Linked DNA regions of Ovis aries. The protein of the gene in region 4 interacts with the protein of the main gene of each other region in a pairwise test. Links are inferred from orthologs where the notes say so. Each region holds a gene or a part of one and is shown on either strand. Other genes may lie near its edges.

The links.
Region 1: the proteins of RPIA (region 4) and STK16 interact in binary tests that used the Homo sapiens proteins (3 or more experiments, as listed by UniProt). The two-hybrid records come from large-scale screens. The link is inferred for Ovis aries from reciprocal best matches to the Homo sapiens genes RPIA and STK16.
Region 2: the proteins of RPIA (region 4) and PCMT1 interact in binary tests that used the Homo sapiens proteins (3 or more experiments, as listed by UniProt). The two-hybrid records come from large-scale screens. The link is inferred for Ovis aries from reciprocal best matches to the Homo sapiens genes RPIA and PCMT1.
Region 3: the proteins of RPIA (region 4) and PTPN11 interact in binary tests that used the Homo sapiens proteins (3 or more experiments, as listed by UniProt). The two-hybrid records come from large-scale screens. The link is inferred for Ovis aries from reciprocal best matches to the Homo sapiens genes RPIA and PTPN11.

Annotation. Positions count from the first base shown.
Region 1 is NC_056055.1:221,193,065-221,197,520, forward strand, and holds the start of STK16 (serine/threonine-protein kinase 16), read left to right. Parts: upstream 1-1,381; 5' UTR 1,382-1,427; exon of another isoform or gene 1,428-1,577; intron 1,578-1,787; 5' UTR 1,788-1,891; coding exon 1,892-1,977; intron 1,978-2,451; exon of another isoform or gene 2,452-2,475; coding exon of another isoform or gene 2,476-2,519; coding exon 2,520-2,739; intron 2,740-2,989; coding exon 2,990-3,123; intron 3,124-3,294; coding exon 3,295-3,415; intron 3,416-3,540; coding exon 3,541-3,636; intron 3,637-4,045; coding exon 4,046-4,167; intron 4,168-4,272; coding exon 4,273-4,411; 3' UTR 4,412-4,456. UniProt on the Homo sapiens protein: Membrane-associated protein kinase that phosphorylates on serine and threonine residues. In vitro substrates include DRG1, ENO1 and EIF4EBP1. Also autophosphorylates. May be involved in secretory vesicle trafficking or intracellular signaling.
Region 2 is NC_056061.1:74,009,832-74,014,143, reverse strand, and holds the start of PCMT1 (protein-L-isoaspartate(D-aspartate) O-methyltransferase), read right to left. Parts: upstream 2,873-4,312; 5' UTR 2,866-2,872; coding exon 2,637-2,865; intron 1-2,636. UniProt on the Homo sapiens protein: Initiates the repair of damaged proteins by catalyzing methyl esterification of L-isoaspartyl and D-aspartyl residues produced by spontaneous isomerization and racemization of L-aspartyl and L-asparaginyl residues in aging peptides and proteins.
Region 3 is NC_056070.1:61,910,875-61,914,700, reverse strand, and holds part of PTPN11 (tyrosine-protein phosphatase non-receptor type 11), read left to right. Parts: intron 1-97; coding exon 98-230; intron 231-3,127; coding exon 3,128-3,293; intron 3,294-3,826. UniProt on the Homo sapiens protein: Acts downstream of various receptor and cytoplasmic protein tyrosine kinases to participate in the signal transduction from the cell surface to the nucleus. Positively regulates MAPK signal transduction pathway. Dephosphorylates GAB1, ARHGAP35 and EGFR.
Region 4 is NC_056056.1:59,367,218-59,371,520, forward strand, and holds the start of RPIA (ribose-5-phosphate isomerase), read left to right. Parts: upstream 1-1,234; 5' UTR 1,235-1,266; coding exon 1,267-1,539; intron 1,540-4,303. UniProt on the Homo sapiens protein: Catalyzes the reversible conversion of ribose-5-phosphate to ribulose 5-phosphate and participates in the first step of the non-oxidative branch of the pentose phosphate pathway.

The DNA.
Region 1 (4,456 bases), on a different chromosome or scaffold from region 4:
TGTCTCCAGCCTGCAACTGCCTGCTACTCTACTAGTTTGTAAACCCCTCTATATCTTGCTACTGGTTCATGAACCAGCTTCATCATGGGAGCTTGTTAGAAATGCAGAGTCTCAGACCCTACCTCAGACCTGTAGAATCAGAAGTTGTATTTCAACAAGATTTCCGGGTGCTCTGAGCACATTCAGGATCGAGAAGTAGATTTCTGCTACACTGAGCCCCCTGAGGATAGGGAGAGCCTTGTCCATCCTGAGTCCTCTGCTGCTATCACAGGGCTCAGTACACAGCAGGTTAAATCTAGATGAATGTCAGATCTAGGTTCAGACCCAAGGGAAACCAGAGGATATTTTCTCAGTATATGAAAGGGGAGTGGGAGTTGGGGTGGGGATCAGGTTACAAGAGGAATCTTCTTCCTAGAGAATCCTGTCCTGTTTCAACAAAAGAGACCATCTAGGCCATCCTATCATCTTTGGATGTGCGCCCCTTTCCAATTTACCCCTGCCTGGGCAAGAGACATCAAAGTTCCAAGGTTTGGAAATTTGTGAATTTCCATCACTCACTGCCTTCACAGTCCCAAGCCTGGGATGTGAAGACCAGGATAGTTATTATTGTTATTTCTGCTTATGGACACTACTCAGGGCTATGCATCAATCGCTATAGTAAGCACTTCACCTCTCATTTAATCTTCAAACAACTCCATGAAGTAGATAATAATCTCCATTTTACTGATGAGGTGATTGGAGGATAGAAATATTAGCCCGTTAACAAGGTCACATAACTAGTTTAGTAGAGCTGGGATTTGAATGAGGCAGTCTGGCCTCAGAGTTCATGCATTTAACTTTAGGTACTCTTACACCTATTTTACAGTTAAGGAAAGTGAGGTTCCTAGAGGCTAAGTAACTTGTCCAGGTGACACAGCTAATGGGCTATTAAGATTCCGACCCTAGTCTAGTTGAAGAGCTTGAGCTCTTAACTACTGTGATTACGGTAATAAGATACAGGCCAGAGCCCCCAAGGTTGTACTGATCAGAGCTGCAAAGGGGTGCAAACTGCCAGCTCCCGCCCCCTCTGAGCATCCACCTCCAGGCTGGACCCCAGTCGGCCACCCGGTGCACGGGAGGTATGACGCCTCCTACCTCTGGCATTGGGAGAGGCAGGTCCTGGGGGCCTCGGGCCGAGCCCGGCTTTGCTCCCCTTTGACGTAGGTGCCTGCGTCTTGACCCTCACTGCAGGCCAGGTGGGGAACCCTCACCCGGGTCCTGGGACCCCTTCTCCCCCAGGCCTAACCCGCCCCCGGCCTCTCAGCTCCACGCCCCCACATCGTCCTAGTGCTCAGCGGTTGCTAGGATACTGCGGGCCGTTACGCCGGCGCGGACTGATGACGTACTACTGCTTCCGGCCCCTGGCGCTTCCCTCCCGCTGAAGCCGGGTGAGTGTGGTGTCCTGGCTGGCCCACCCAGACCGAGACCCGGAGTGGGTTCTGCAAGCGGTGGGTCCAGGCCTCGCATTCCTCTCCGGATCTACCCCGTGCCCTGCCTCTACAGCCCAACGGGGTGTGCGAGTGAGGGGCTGCCTGAAGGTGGGCCGGGGTTGGAGGAAGTGGCCTGGGAGTCGCCGAGGGGCCTGGGCCCTTTTAAGGCACCTGACCCGAGCCTTCTTGGAGCGGGCGTTGCCAGGGCTTATTTTCTCTAGGTTTGGAGACCTGGGCCTGAGCGCTTCACGTTGGCCCTTTAGGGGGGGGTCATCTGGATTGTGCCCCGCCCATGACCTGCCATTCTTTTCCTTCCAGCATGATCTGCTGGAGCCCCAGCAACTTGCCTGAAAGAGACCACTCGACCTGGACGAACCCTTTGGCAGCTTCAGACCGTCCTTGAGAAGGATGACTGAGACACTATGGGCCACGCGCTTTGCATCTGCTCTCGGGGAACTGTCACCATTGACCATAAGCGCTACCTCTTCATCCATAAACTGGGGGAGGGGTGAGTGTTTTGGAAATCATTTAGTCCCAAGAATTGTGGTGTTTGAAGGACAGCAGTCAGCACAAGATAGGGGCACAGAGCCTCTAATTCACCGGCCGGAGCCCAGCTCCTTGGTAGTCAAGAAAGTGGATTGTGGAACCAGTCTTCCTAGAGTCACCATGTATGGCCTTGATAAGCCCTAGTTGCTTTATCTGCTTATTAGAGCTAATTTTGCTTCAATGATGGGGCTGTGAGGACTAAATGAGATAATTCGTATCAAGTGTCTCCCCTATTGCCTGATAAATAGCACTTGATAAAGGTTGGCTGTTATCTATTTAGTATTTATTGAAGCCCTGCATTAAGACCATAGGACCTAGAAAGTGACTGTGTCCTTGCTCTATGTGAATAATCTTCAGACTTCTTTTTAGAGTCACACCTTGGGAGGGTTGCTAGTAAACGGGAGACACCCCCCCCTCCCCTCGCACTTCTTCCCAGGGAATTCCTCTGGATCCCAGCAGTATGGGAGATGACCTTGGTCCTTCACTGACCCCTTTGGCCCACAGTGGGTTCAGCTTTGTGGACCTAGTGGAGGGGTTGCATGATGGACAGTTCTACGCCCTGAAGCGAATCCTGTGTCATGAGCAGCAGGACCGGGAGGAGGCCCAACGAGAAGCAGACATGCATCGCCTCTTCCATCACCCCAACATCCTTCACCTCGTGGCTTATTGTCTGAGAGAGCGAGGCACTAAACATGAGGCCTGGCTGCTGCTACCCTTCTTCAAGGTCAGAAAGTCTCCTGGCTATGGATGGGATTGCAACAGAGCGGTGTGTGCCAAGGGCTATCATGAGCACTCAAGCACATTAGGAAGCAGAAGTCATGTTCTGGTTTGAGCATTTCAGATTTGGGGTTTAAGGAACCCACCTGGGGCTGTAGGGTGTGTGGTGAAATTGCTATAAATTCTGACATAGGGAAAGAATCAGGCTCAGGGAGCAGAGGCTAAAAACATCAGCTGCGGGGAAACTTGTTTTGCAGAGAGGTACGCTGTGGAATGAGATAGAAAAGCTGAAGGACAAAGGCAACTTCTTGACTGAAGAGCAAATCATTCAGCTGCTGCTGGGTATCTGCAGAGGCCTTGAGGCTATTCACACCAAGGGTTATGCCCACAGGTCAGTGGGAGGCTCCATGTACTTGCTGGACAGAAAGGAAGAGCCTCATGAAGAGAAATGAGAGATCTCTGTGCTCTTCTCCAGGAACAGTCCCCATGATTCTTTTGCTCCCCCTAGGATCTTGGGCTTTTGGTTCAGGGATGCTCATGGGTCATTTCTACTTCCCTGCAGGGACCTGAAACCCACCAATATCTTGCTTGGCGATGAGGGGCAGCCAGTTCTGATGGACTTGGGGTCCATGAATCAAGCATGCATCCGTGTGGAGGGCTCCCGCCAGGCTCTGGCCCTCCAGGTAAGAGTTTCCAGAGTCCTTTGCCCATCTCTTCCTCATCCTCAGCCCCTTCTGGTCCATGCCCCAGTTTGGGCACATGACCAAAACCTGTGCCCTGCTTCTGAGCTCTGGGGCCACTGTTCCAGGACTGGGCAGCCCAGCGGTGCACCATCTCCTACCGGGCCCCGGAGCTCTTCTCCGTGCAAAGCCACTGTGTCATCGATGAGCGGACTGATGTTTGGGTGAGGAGCGTGTGGGTGGGAACGTGGAAGGGGAGGAGTGCTGCTCTGTAGCTGCTGTGAACTGGAGGAGCAAGTCTTTGGTTTCCAATGCATGGGGCCCCAGGAAGCATGTATGTCCCAATCCCCCCTTGACTTCCTTCCTGGGAACTATCACTGACACTGTACTCAGTTGCTCAGGAAGTGATATAATCTTGCCCTTTGAGCAGGATAAGTATAACTAAATGTCAGGGCTGGAGGCAGCGGCTCAGCACAAGACGCAGAGGCCTCCAGCTAACTGGCAGTTTCTCTGGGGCCCTGGTGGTGTCACGTGACTGAAGTCTGCATACTGCAGCCTCCTTTCACTACAGAATGAAACAGAGAGAGATGACTCCATTGGTCCTCTTCCAAGGAATAACCAAGTTATGCTCAGTCCCTAGGCTGTGTGCTATATGCCATGATGTTTGGGGAAGGCCCTTACGACATGGTGTTCCAGAAGGGTGACAGCGTGGCCCTTGCAGTGCAGAACCAACTCAGCATCCCGCAGAACCCCAGGTGAGCTTGAAAGGAGCAGGGGCACTCCAGGCTCCTCCCTTCTGTTTGCAGGGGTCAGAGCACAGGGGCGGCCACCTCCTTCACGCTCCCCTTCTTCTTCTGCAGGCATTCTTTAGCCTTGCGGCAGCTGCTGACCTCAATGATGACTGTGGACCCCCAGCAGCGCCCTCACGTTCCTCTGCTCCTGAGTCAGTTGGAGGTGCTGCAGCCCTCGGCTCAGGACGAGCACACTACCCACATCTGAACAAACCCGTGGCCACGTTGAGAAGTTGGCCCCTGTGCCTTGGCA
Region 2 (4,312 bases), on a different chromosome or scaffold from region 4:
CAAGTTTTAGACCACAGTTGGCAGTAACTTAAGAGCAGTTATCAATACAAACATCAGCTATGAGATATTATGACTGTATCGTTACAATCTAAAATAATCTATAAATATCAACTGTGAAATCATACTTCTATCACGTCATCTTATAGAAGAAACACCTCAGTAGGCATTTTCAATAAAATTAATATAAAATATTAAAATGAAACCAATCATGAACCTTATTTGATTAAAAAAAGAAAACTGTAATTTGCTTCCTCTTCCACTTTGCAGATCCATATTCACTTCAGTATCAGCATTACCACATTTTAATCTTTTTCTACAGATTCAGTTAGAAGCCTTTAAGTGAGGAAGAATACACAGTGGTGCAATTACCAGGAAAGAGTGAGAAATTTTCAGTGTGTGCCAACTGAAATTTTTATGTGAGCAAATACTAGTGTTATTAATGAACTATTAAATAAATATGAAATCTATTGGCTTAAATTAATTCAGCAAGAAGTTGAAACTAAAGTTGCAAAAGGTTATGAAAAAGGCTAAACAATCTGCCTATGCTATTTCCTCTTACTAATCATAGAACTAGTATAAAACTAAGTATCAACATCTATGTATGTTAAATATTTCTCACTTAATTTTCTGATAGGAAAACATCCTTAGAAATTTCAGCTAAGAATACATTTAATGCAATACATTAAAATGATTACAAAACCACTGGGAAAAGATCTAGCTTTGGCTTACTACAAATTTGGCCTAAAAAGGAGCGTCAAGAGCCTGATTGATTACAAATTTCTGCCACAGCCAAGTGTTTACTGAGATAACCTTCTGGTGGAAAATTACTTAATCACAATTCAAGTACAGAATGTTTCAGGTGTGTAGGCACTAGATAATTTTAAGAAGTTTTATTAAAATATTTACAACATATTGAGCTTCTGGTCTATGAGAACCTAAATCACTCTTAACACTGACACTGCACATAAATTTCCATTTCCAATCAAGTATCCTTCCATAAAGTGAATACTGGCAATGTTAGACAGGGCTTTTAAACCTAAACATTCTTTGAACATATATATATATAGCTAAGTTGCTTCAGTCATGTCCAGACTCTGCGACCCCCGTGGACTGTAGCCTATCAGGCTCCTCTGCCCATGGGATTCTCTGGAGGGCAAGAATACTGGAGTGGGGTGCCCTATCCTCCTCAAACATTCTTTACTAAACACTAAGGAGTTGGTGATGGACAGGGAGGCCTGGCATGCTGCGATTCATGGGGTCACAAAGAGTCGGACACGACTGAGCGACTGAACTGAACTGAACTGAAGGACACAATCTCCAACTTTGGAACATTGTGTTTAAAAAAAAAAAAGACTAACATTAAGCACTAACCATGTGCCAGCCAATGTTACTTATTCTCTCACTAATCTTAGTATTCCTAGCCTAGATCTAAGCATATAATATATACTTAACTGGCATTTATTTTTCAAACAAGTAATGATTATTAAGATGAGGGGATTCAAAGACTAAAAAAAAAAAGGTACTGGCCCTCAAGGAGGTTACAAATCGAATTTGGAAACATGAGACGCGAAAAGCTAAACAACCTATAACAATTAAAAATACCACGTGGTAGGGCTGCGATTATTTGCAAAGTCAGTGGCAAAGAAGAATGCTATAAATTCTGACCAGAGAGAGAGTACTATAGACTGCGGTTCCGGTCTCCCGACCAGACGGCGACACTATAGTTCAATTTAAAAAAAGAAAGTGACACAGCACTCATCCCACCCTAAAATTATCATCAGAGGAAGGAATACAATAACTAAAGAGAACGGTGTAAAGAAAACTTCCATACACAGCTTTTAAAGCATACGATGGCCCTGATAAAAGTGAAAACGGGCCGCAGAACACAATCTTTCGCTGGATCTCCAGGACCTCTGAAGGCTCCTGAAACACAGTCTCTCAAGGAGAGCATCCTTCCTCCTTTCTCCCTCAGCTCCCTACGAAGCTTTCCACTGGACAGCCGTCCCAGAAATTTCTCCCAGCATCCGCAGTGACAGCAACTCTCATCTTCCTCTCCCTCCCCTCGCCGGTATCAGACAGTGGCATCTCCCGCCAGGGGAAAAAACGGAGGGCGGGGGGTGGGGGGAGGCAGAATAGGCGAGAAAGCTTGCAGCTAGATTGATTTAAGACGGGAAGAGTAGGTGGGAGGACGCGGGGGTCGAGGGCGGGGTCCTCCCAGCTCCAGCTCCAGTCTCTCGGAGGTCTAGCCAATATCCCACTCCTCCCGCTCCACCCCAGGGCGCGCCCCTCGCCCGCTGGACCTGAACTGGGAGGCGACGAACTCGAGTGACAGCCCCACTACCTGTGCGCCCCCAGCCCCCAGCCCCGTCCCCCAGGCCTGCGGGGAGATGCCTGCCCCCGCCCCACGAGCAGCGGCCCCGGGCTCCTTCTCTGATTCCAGTCCACATCGCCGATGAGTGACAGGTCCCGGGGGAGGCAATCGCCAGCGCTCGCTGGTCGGGACCGCGGGTGCAACCGTGCGCCGAAGCCCTCCAGCACGCACGGGGAGTAGACAGAACGTCCCGGGCGGCCCCAGGGGACCCGGACCAGGCCTGGCCTTCCTCGGTTGCCCCACACCCGGCGGGGGTGGCACTTACTGCGGAGGTTGTGGATCAGCTCCGAGTGGCTGGCGCCGCCGGATTTCCAGGCCATCGCTAAGCACACCCGGAGCAGGTACAGAACCACCTTCAGCGCGGCGACGGTGCCCAGTAGCTTCCCCAAGAGTGAGACCACCTCCCACACGGTCACCGCCCCGTTCTCGTCCCCGCTGGAGCCGCCGCTGTTACTGCCGTCGTCGCTGCTGCCGCCACTGCGCGCTCCCGGCATCCCCCGCGGCACGCATGCGCTCTGTGACGCCGCGCGGCCTCGGGCGCGGCCGGGTGGGGCCGGAGGCGGGGGTGGCTTCGCGACCCGCAGCCCGGGCGAGGGGCCGCTGCGGCTGCCCGAGATTGGCGGCTTGGCCTCGCTGAGTCAGCGCCACCGCCGCCACTGCGTGGCCTTTCTGAGACCTCGGGCTGCGCAGCGCCTCCTTGCTTGGGTTTGCCCTGCGGTCAGGCGGGGTGGGCCGCAGCGCGGTCGGCCGCGTGCCTCGCTGCGGCTCTGGTCACCGAGAGCGGTGGCAGGATGGCAGGGCGGGTCTGGTTCCGAGGCTGCCGGTGGCTCTGCAGTCGTCGCTGGGTCAGCTGTTGCGAGTGGCGGGTCTGCTCCTATAGCTGTCCAGATTGTTAAACGGTGGGCTTCCTCCGTCCTGCCTTCACCCAACCCAATGAATGACTAACATATTTAGGTCGGTTAGAGTCAGAGCTCCCTATGGTGAACACCGAGTATCTTAAACGGAGGGCAAACGTCCTCTCTAACCCGAGTACTCCAGGCTCTAGCTAACAAGTACATTTAGTGGCTGGTTAGCAGAGACTTTGGGACCCTGATTTGTTCTCAGCTCTAAAGCACAAATTCAGAGAGTGGAAGAAGACAGACAAGGGTTGGAGGGTGGAGCACCGAGAATGCTTTGCTCCTTAGGAAAATGCACTTGCTTAAAAACACTACAGTAGCCTGTGGCGACTGTTTTTCTCCTAACACAAGTGGGCGTTTTTAGCTATTTAAGCCTCACAAATTCCACCATTAGACTGGACCCCGGCTTTGCTGCTATCAGCTATGCAAGACACCGAGTGAGAAACTGACAAGGAACATTGCCAGTAGAATCCAACTTGCTGACTCCTAATCAGAACGGAGACTGGAAGGATCCAGTCATTTAGTCCCAATAAACTTTTAAGGAAGGAAACAAAGCTATGTAAAGACATTGATGCTACTGCGTCAGCAACAATGCTCAAATTTTAGTTCTAACCAGACCTTGGCAAATGTGGTGTCTATGTAAGTATGTATGAATATAGTTATATATTAACTATTTCGTGGGATTCTGCGATAATAACCGAAGCAGCATTCTTTACTTCAATATTGGGAATAAATTAGCCAGTTTGGGACTCAAAATTGGAACTGGGGGTCTTCAGAATTACAACTCCAGTTTCTGACCGTGTGTGTTATCATTGAAGAAAAGTACTTGCTTGGGGGGACAGGGAGGGAGAAGTTTTTAATAATACATTGGTACGTTAATGGACGTACTTCCACGAGAATTTAAGGATTTTTAATCTTTTCTATGCGCGGTGAAATGCAAGCCTGCTTAGGTGTAGCTACTAGCTCGTTTCTCTTGCATTGCTTTTATTTTGGTTTTGCTCTTAAATTTGTCTTTACATTGCAAATTCTTTTGCGCCAATGTATT
Region 3 (3,826 bases), on a different chromosome or scaffold from region 4:
CATGTTAGTAGTCAACACTTGAATGTTGCTCTTCTGCTGGTTAAGGCTTTCATGTCAGAGTTCACAGAGATTAACTCTTTTCTTGGACTCCTTCCAGAGTAAATGTGTCAAATACTGGCCTGACGAGTATGCACTAAAAGAATACGGAGTCATGCGTGTTAGGAACGTCAAGGAAAGTGCCGCTCACGACTATACCTTAAGAGAACTTAAACTCTCGAAGGTTGGACAAGTAAGTATACTGTCGTACTTTAGACAGTCTGGTAACTGCACAGGGGGTGTGCTAATCCAGGGTCGTGCGGTCACTCCTGTCTGCATACCTCCAGGCATTTGTTCACTCACTGAATAACATCCAGTTGTGGACGCCCTCTGTGTGCCAGGTACCACCGAGGTACTTGTTTCGTTGTCATTGTGTTAGCCACTCAGTTGTGCCTGACTCTTTGTGACTGTAGCCCGCCAGGCTCCTCTGCCCTTGGAATTCACCAGGCAAGAATACTGGGGTGGGTTGCCATTCCCTTCTCCAGGAGATCTTCCTGACCCAGGGATCGAACCCAGGTCTCTTGCATTGCAGGTTGATTCTTTACCATCTGAGCCACTTGGGGAGCCGCAAGGTACTGGACTGGTACATGGCAAACCAGATCTGCACGGTCCCTTTCCCCACAGAGCCTAGGGAGGTGGGAGGCTAAGGAGTAAATAACCAACCAAGCTTTCCAGTTGTGCTGGGGCTATGAACGCCACAGTGTGGTGTGTTAGAGAATGAAGTGGAGTAAGCAGGGAGGACCTCTTTCGGGGGGTGCCAGGCAAGCTGAGACCTGAAGGTGGAGCAGCATCTGAGGCTCGGGAGAGGAGAGTTCCAAGCAAAAGGAGCAGCAAGTGCAAAGGCCCTGAGGCCTATTTTAGTGCTCATGTTCCATGTGTCAGCTTGTAATTGTACGTAGTTCAGTTTTGTCCCTGGGATGACTATGTTTGTTTCTTTTTTTTTTTTTAACTTTTTATGTTGTATTGAAGTATAGACTGTCAGCAATGTTGTGATACTTTCAGGTGGACAGCAAAGGGAGTCACCAATATGTGTACATCTGGGGTGACTAACTTTGCATCCAGCGTGATTTGGATTCATCATGATATCATGGTGAGACAGGCTTACTTATTCAGGGGCCTCTTGGGACACAGAGGTGAATGAAACAGCCTTTGTCCTCAAGGAATTGTAGTCATGTAGCCACGAGAAGCCATGGTACAAGTCCCTATGCCATCGAGCAGACACCCGCTGTCACACCCACCTAAGGTGCTGGGGTTCCTCAGCAGCGGGTGGAGAGAGGGTTGGGGGAGTGCAGATCCGTGATGGAGAGAGTGCACGGAGTCATAGCTGGGCAGCCGGGGCGGGAGGAGGCATGCGGAGGGCAGAGGAGGGACTGTCCTCTGGTGAGTTTCATGAGGTGGTCTGGGGACCTGAGTGAGCCAGGAGCCTCAGCGGCTGTGGTCCAGGGTCGGAACTTCTGATGTGCCGTTCTGTTGCTGGCAGGGAGAGGTAAGAGGGAGGTTAGGTCGATTGCGAGACTGTGTGGGGAAGCTGGAAGAATGTCTCTGTCAAGCAGAAATTAGAGATTTAGAGAACATCAGACAAAGATTTCAGATAGATTTTTCTTCAGCTGTAGTGGTAAACGACTCGTCTTCTCTTTATCAGGTGTTTCTCAGTAGCAGGTGGATTTTTCTTCAGGTTTTGTTTTTTTTTTTTTTTTTTTGATAAACCATCCGTCTTCTTGTTAGCAGAGATTTGGGAGTACCAGGTACAGGGAATGTTGGTGTTTGGGTTTGTGTTTTGCACTTGTGGGTGCAGGTGCTGACACAAGGCCAATCATTTCTCCAGGATTACTGGTCACGGGTTATCTGCTTTTTGTATAGCATGCTCCATTTTTTTTAAAGTGCTATCAGATGATCTCATTTAAGCCTCCTAATCGCCTGGGAAGGAGGAGTGGGACCAAGACCTCAGTGGCCATTTATATAGGAGGAGGAACAAGGATGCTCAGGGCAGCTGGGTCTCTCTCATTCCCTGTCCTTTCTGTGACCCTGGGAACCCCCTGAGTTTTAGCTCACTGGTAACCTCCAGAAAAATCCTTTTTCATGACTCAGCAAACTAAATGCACATAATTCCCGAAAAGATCTTGACTGCGGTTCAGATTCCTTGGATGTTCTGAAGGTCACAGGTGGTGGATACTGGTCTGGTTATTCTCTCTCTTTCCTTTTTTCAAAATCCCCTTTAAAAATGTTACTTAGCTTATGTAGTCTCCAGATAATGTAGGAAGAAGACACAGTGACAAATAGTGACCTAATTGGGTGAACCCAGAACACGATGCCTTTTAGTTTTTCGTAGTCTCAGTACCCTTGTTGACCTTTATTAATGTCAGTCCTCAGAAGAGCACCAGCGTGCTGAGTCTCTTCCTGTCTGCTTCACAGTGGCTCTCCGTTTAACTGGTCTTATTTAGTCCTCACAGTGATAATTGTGGTAGAGAGTCTTATGCCCATCCACACATGAGGGGTTTGAGGCTTAGAGATGTCCAAGGACCACAGTGAGCGTGAATGCTGGGGTTGGGGCCTGAATCCACCCACCTGATTGCAAAGCCTGTCTTACCTGCTCTGCACCAAAATGGAAGTTGAAATAATTATAATAAAAGTGCATGTTGCAGGAGAGGCGGGCCAGGTACAAAAAGACAGAGACGAGCAGATGTCTGGAGGGAATTCCCCTTTCTCAGGTGGTGGGAGGAGAGCCCCCGAGTCCCAGAGGGCTCTGCTGTCTCCCACGTGCAGCTGTGCTCGGCGGAGGGGGAACAGGGACCTCCTCTGCCGCTGGCTGACAGGGCAGGCACGAATGCTGGCTGTCGTTTCCTCAAGAACAAACTGCTATAAGAGACATCTTGTTTCTTTGGACGGAGGCAATGGGTTCCAGCCTCCAGGATTGCTCAGCCAGACCCAGGAGGAGGAGAGGTCTGGGGAACTTGTCGGGGGGACCTGTGAACGGAGTGTCTGGAGGCGGTGCTGGCCTGGTCCTCCTGGCTCACGGAGGATCTGGGAAAGATAGGACCCGGACGATGTCTCAACCCCTTGATTTATTTAATTCTTTTCTGGTTTTTCTTGGCTTTACTCCAGGGGAATACAGAGAGAACGGTCTGGCAATACCACTTTCGGACCTGGCCGGACCACGGCGTGCCCAGTGACCCGGGGGGCGTGCTGGACTTTCTGGAGGAGGTTCACCACAAGCAGGAGAGCATTGTGGATGCGGGGCCCGTGGTGGTTCACTGCAGGTGACTGGCCCCTCCACCTCTAGGATGTCACCTGTCCCATCATCTCTCAACGCCCAGGGTGCTTGTTTGTACTTGCCCAGCCCAAGCCACAGCTCTTTAACTGTGGGAAAAATTTAATGCCTGTTTGTGGCATTAAGGGACACTTTGACCCCAAAGTATATTTCTTCTAGATCCTGTGGGACCACCAGGTACTGGGGTGGTGGGGCAGGGGGTGGTGAACACAGTCCTTATTCTTAAGGCACCCTTAGTCTGGTAGTGTTTGATTGGTTTTCTCTGTTCATGCAGTTATTTTAGGATTCATCTCTTTGATTGTGATCCTCTTCTTGTTTTCCATGGAAATATGGTGTATTTTTTTCCCCCTGACAACATACCTGTTTGTTTCAGAATATTTGGACCGCTCCCCATTCAGGCTTCTAGAAGCCAGGCCCATGGCCTCCGCACCAGAGTTTGTAGGTGCCAGTTCCCAAGTTTAGGCTTCATGATTATACTGGGGAAAGTTGGTATATGTTGGGCAAGTAGATGCGTGTGAAACA
Region 4 (4,303 bases):
ACATATTCATGTGAGAGTTGGACCATAAAGAAGGCTGAGTGTGCAAGAATTGATGCTTTTGAACTATGGTGCTGGAGAAGACTCTTGAGAGTCCCTTGGACAGCAAGGAGATCAAACCAGTCCGTCCCAAAGGAAACCAACCCTGAATATTCATTGGCAGGACTGATGCTGAAGCTGAAGCTCCAGTACTTTGGACACCTGAATGTTAAGAGCCAACTCATTGGAAATGACCCTGATGCTCGGAAAGATTGAGGGCAGGAGGAGGAGGGGGACAGAGGAGGAGATGACTGGATGGCATCACTGACTGGACGGACATGAGTTTGAGCAAACTCTGGGAGATGGTGAAGAATAGGAAATCCTGGCAGGCTGCAGTTCATGGGGTCGCAGAGCCCTGACGTGGTTGAGCTACTTGAACACCAACGCTTGACTACATTTCCAAGACCAAAAAGACATGTATGTACTGGCCGCCTCCCTTATCTTTTTGGAATAGTTCCACAGAGGTGAAATGTTATTTCCCCAGCTATAGTCCCAAGTAAGCTGCCAGAATAAAACTGAAACTCACTTTACTTACATTGTACTTTTTTTCAGTTGACAAGCACAGCAAGACACTTTATAGGTAGGGAAGAAAAGAGAGTTGTTAGTTCAACGACAGTCCTTTTTGAGTCAATAATTTCTATAGGTCACACATAGGCGTCGAGCCAAGCTCCATCTGGAGGGAACCGCGGCATCCAATGCTGCGCAGGGCAGAACAAAACCTAAGGCTGGGGCTTCTAAATCTGTAGCCCTGCTCCTGTGGAAGGAGGTCTAAATGTGGACTAAAGCGTGAGCCGCTGTCCGCAGGTGCGCTTCCCCGGGGAGTCCGTCTAGAGAAGTCACTCCCAAAAGGACATTTCCATAAAAGCGACTGCCCTGAGGCCTCGTACACCGCCACGTTCTTACGGCTAGAAAATCCAACAGGATTAGATCCAAAACGTCCATCTCAGACACGGGGGCAAATAAAAAATACTCTAGCCTTGATCCATCCGGGGATGCTTGCTCTGTACGAGCCGTCACAACAAAGTCGTCTTTGATTTGCGCACCCGGTCGCGGAGCACTGTGGGGCTGGTAGTCCAGGCTGGGGCGCGGCTTCCGGTCACTGAAGACCTAGAACTACATTTCCCAGAAAGTACCGCGCCTCAGCGGAAGCGGACCTTGTACGTGGGCTTCAAGACTTCCGGCGGAGCCGGGGGGCGGGACCCGTGGCGGAGGCTGGAGCGAGGCGGAGGGATGCAGCGCCCCGGGCCCTTCAGCACCCTCTACGGGCGGGTCCTGGCCCCGCTGCCCGGGCGGGCCGGGGGCGCGGCCTCTGGCGGAGGCGGGAACAGCTGGAGCGTTCCGGGTTCCCACGTGCAGTTGTCGGGACGCTCGCAGTTCGGCGCTGGCAGCACCAGTACCGGCGGCAGGGAGACTAACACCGTCTGTCCGGGCCCGTCCGCGATGTCAAAGGCCGAGGAGGCCAAGAAGCTGGCTGGCCGCGCGGCCGTGGAGAACCACGTGAAGGTGAGCAATTCAGGGCTTGGGCGCCCGTGCTGGGCGGTATGGGCTCTTGCTGTGGGTTCTGAGCGCTGCCAGGTGCGCCAAGTTCCTGGCAGAGCGGGGGCTGCGTGAGAGGGGAGAGAGTACGCACTTGACCTGCCTTGAGACCTGCTCCTTCAAGGCCTTTGAAATATGGAATTGGTTGGGGCCGAGTACCCTAAAGTTCAGCTGTCTAACGACTGCTTGTCAGGCCAGATAACAGTTTGCCAAGTGGAGCGTGGTGGTGTGTCTGATGTTCGGAGTGGGGTTAGGAGGGACTTAGCGCCTGGCTTCCTTATCAACAGATAAAAGACTGGGACTGCCGAGAAGTGTTCACCTCGCTTCACTGCCCAGGGAAGTCGGTGGGGAGCTGATTTGAAAAGTGTTTTGAAATTTAACTCCAGGGAAGTGCTTAGCTGGGCGCGCACCGGCTCTTGAATGTACTTGCCGGAGGAAAGCGGAGAAGGAGCCAAAGACTTTAAACCTCCTCCTTTTGGCAGGGCTCGGGTGGACACTTGAAGTCTGGAGATCCTCTTTAAGGTCGGGATGTGGAGATGTTTAGCTGTTATTGTGAGGTCGTAATGTAATGTCAGTGAGGTCGTGACCCCACTTGTTGGCTAAGTGGCGGGTGTGGTCCTCTTGGTGGAGTCTTTTGGATTTGCTGTCAACAATCATGTTAATTGTAAGAATTTTGGGAGCTGGGAGCCAAGTGGAGTATCTCTGCCCTTAGGTGGAGTTTCCTGGGTTTCATTGGCTTTTAGTGTTTTCTGCTTTCTGGAAAGTGGTATCAGATTCTCTTTTCTCAAATAATGGTTCTTTATTCTTTACATTTGGTAATGCTTTCGTGTACGAAGTTATTTTGCTGGATAGATGTTAGATCCTCCTACAGCCTGGCCAAGTGGGAGGGCCGCGTGGTAACCTGTGGCTCAGCGTGTTCTGTAGGAGGAATGACCAAGTATCCTCCCAGACCCAAACCCAGTGACTCCTGTTCCAGTGCCCTTCCCCCAGTTACATAGCTGCCCTGTTCTGGTGTAATAGTCTGGTTAGCAATAGGAATTTCTATGGGACACAGAGATAATGTGGAATGTGTCATCTGGCTCTCCTTTTGGGATTTAGTGTCTCAGCTGCAACATTGGGACAATCGGCTGAAATTTTAAATGCCTCTAGAAAGTGAATGGTAATGGGCAAATGAAATCTATACAAATAGAAAAGACCTGTATGTTAGATTTCCTATTATCCTATTACTATTATGTCTTCCTGACCATTGTGGTTTTTTTTTTAAATTACGTATTTGGTTAAATAAAAATTTGCAAGCCCCCACCTCAGGCCAGAGCCCCCAGCCACCTGTTGCCTGAAGTTGCCAGACCATCCTGGGGAGATCTCCATTGACCTTTTGGCATTCACCCCAGTCTCAGTTAACACTATTTGCCTTTGCAGACTTCTTTCCTGAGATGTCAACACTATTTGAATGTTTTTTTAAAATAATCTTATTTATTTATTATTTATTTTTGGCTGTGCAGGGTCACTGCTCCAGCTGCTTTTCTAGTTGGTGGTGAGCCGGGGCTGCTCTCTAGTTGCAGTGTGCAGACTTCTCATTGCAGTGGGTTCTCTTGTTGCAGAGCATGGACTCTAGGGCACAGTTTTCAGTAGTTGCAGTTCCTAGGCTTTAGAGCACAGGCTCAATAGCTGGGACGGACAGGCTTAGTTGCTCTCCTGGGATCTTCCTGGACCAGAGATGGAGCCTGTGTCCCCTGCATTGGCAGGTGGATTCTTTATTAGTGAGCCGCCAGCGAAGTCCTGTATTTTGTACTTCTTACCACTGATTCATTCATTTCATTCCTGTGCGGGAACTTGTTGAGTGCCTGCTATGTGTCAGGTAGTTGGTGTGGAGGCCAGAGATGTGGCTAAAGGGAGGAGAAGATGCTGATCCTGGATATTTTGCAAACAAGATCACTGAATTCCAAGACAAGGTTATTGATCACAGTCCTGTACCTGATTGTCAAGGTTTAGCAGCCCTCTCCAGGGTTATCCTTTTTCTCCATCTAAGGCCAAATTTTCCTTTAGCACTTTGTGTCTTGAAATTGTTCCCTTGCTACCCAACTCAGATTTGACTGCTCACCCCTTGAAAGACAAGTTTGCTTTCAAAAGAAAACTTGGGAAAGAAAAAATTGCTTTGTTCTGGAGGCTGGCAACCTGGCGAGAAGGCCGACTTCTAGAACCTACTTTACTAAGGTGAAAGGGGACGTTAATTGCAGTTAATCATTTAGGAAGGGGGTCAGAGTCTTATCTTCCACTGTGTGTAGACCTTCTGATTGGCTGATGGTGAGGTAACTGTGTGGTGGTTAGCAGCTTTCTACTTGATTGGGGCCTTAGTTCCTGTGGAAGAACTCAGAGACTGTTGTCATGTATATTCCTTGAGGAGGAACCAGGCCCTTGCCTCATGGCTTTGTTTCTTGACTGCTCCTCCCTTGCTTCTGCATTCCTTATCTTACCTGAATGGTGACTGCTTGTATCTGTCCTTTGGAACTCAGGGAAGGTCAAGGAGGCTGTATGAAGCCTGTTTCCTACAAACAACAAACAGGGCACAAGCGCCTGCTCAGTTTTATACTCAGTTTGTGTAAGTTTATCAAGGTAGCTTCTGTGCCAGGTCCTATTGGTTGCACCTTTGGAATGTTCTTAGAACTGACCCTTCCTGTGGACCAGCTTTGTCTGTTTAGGTTTTCCCTGTCTCTTCTGACCAGCCAAGTGA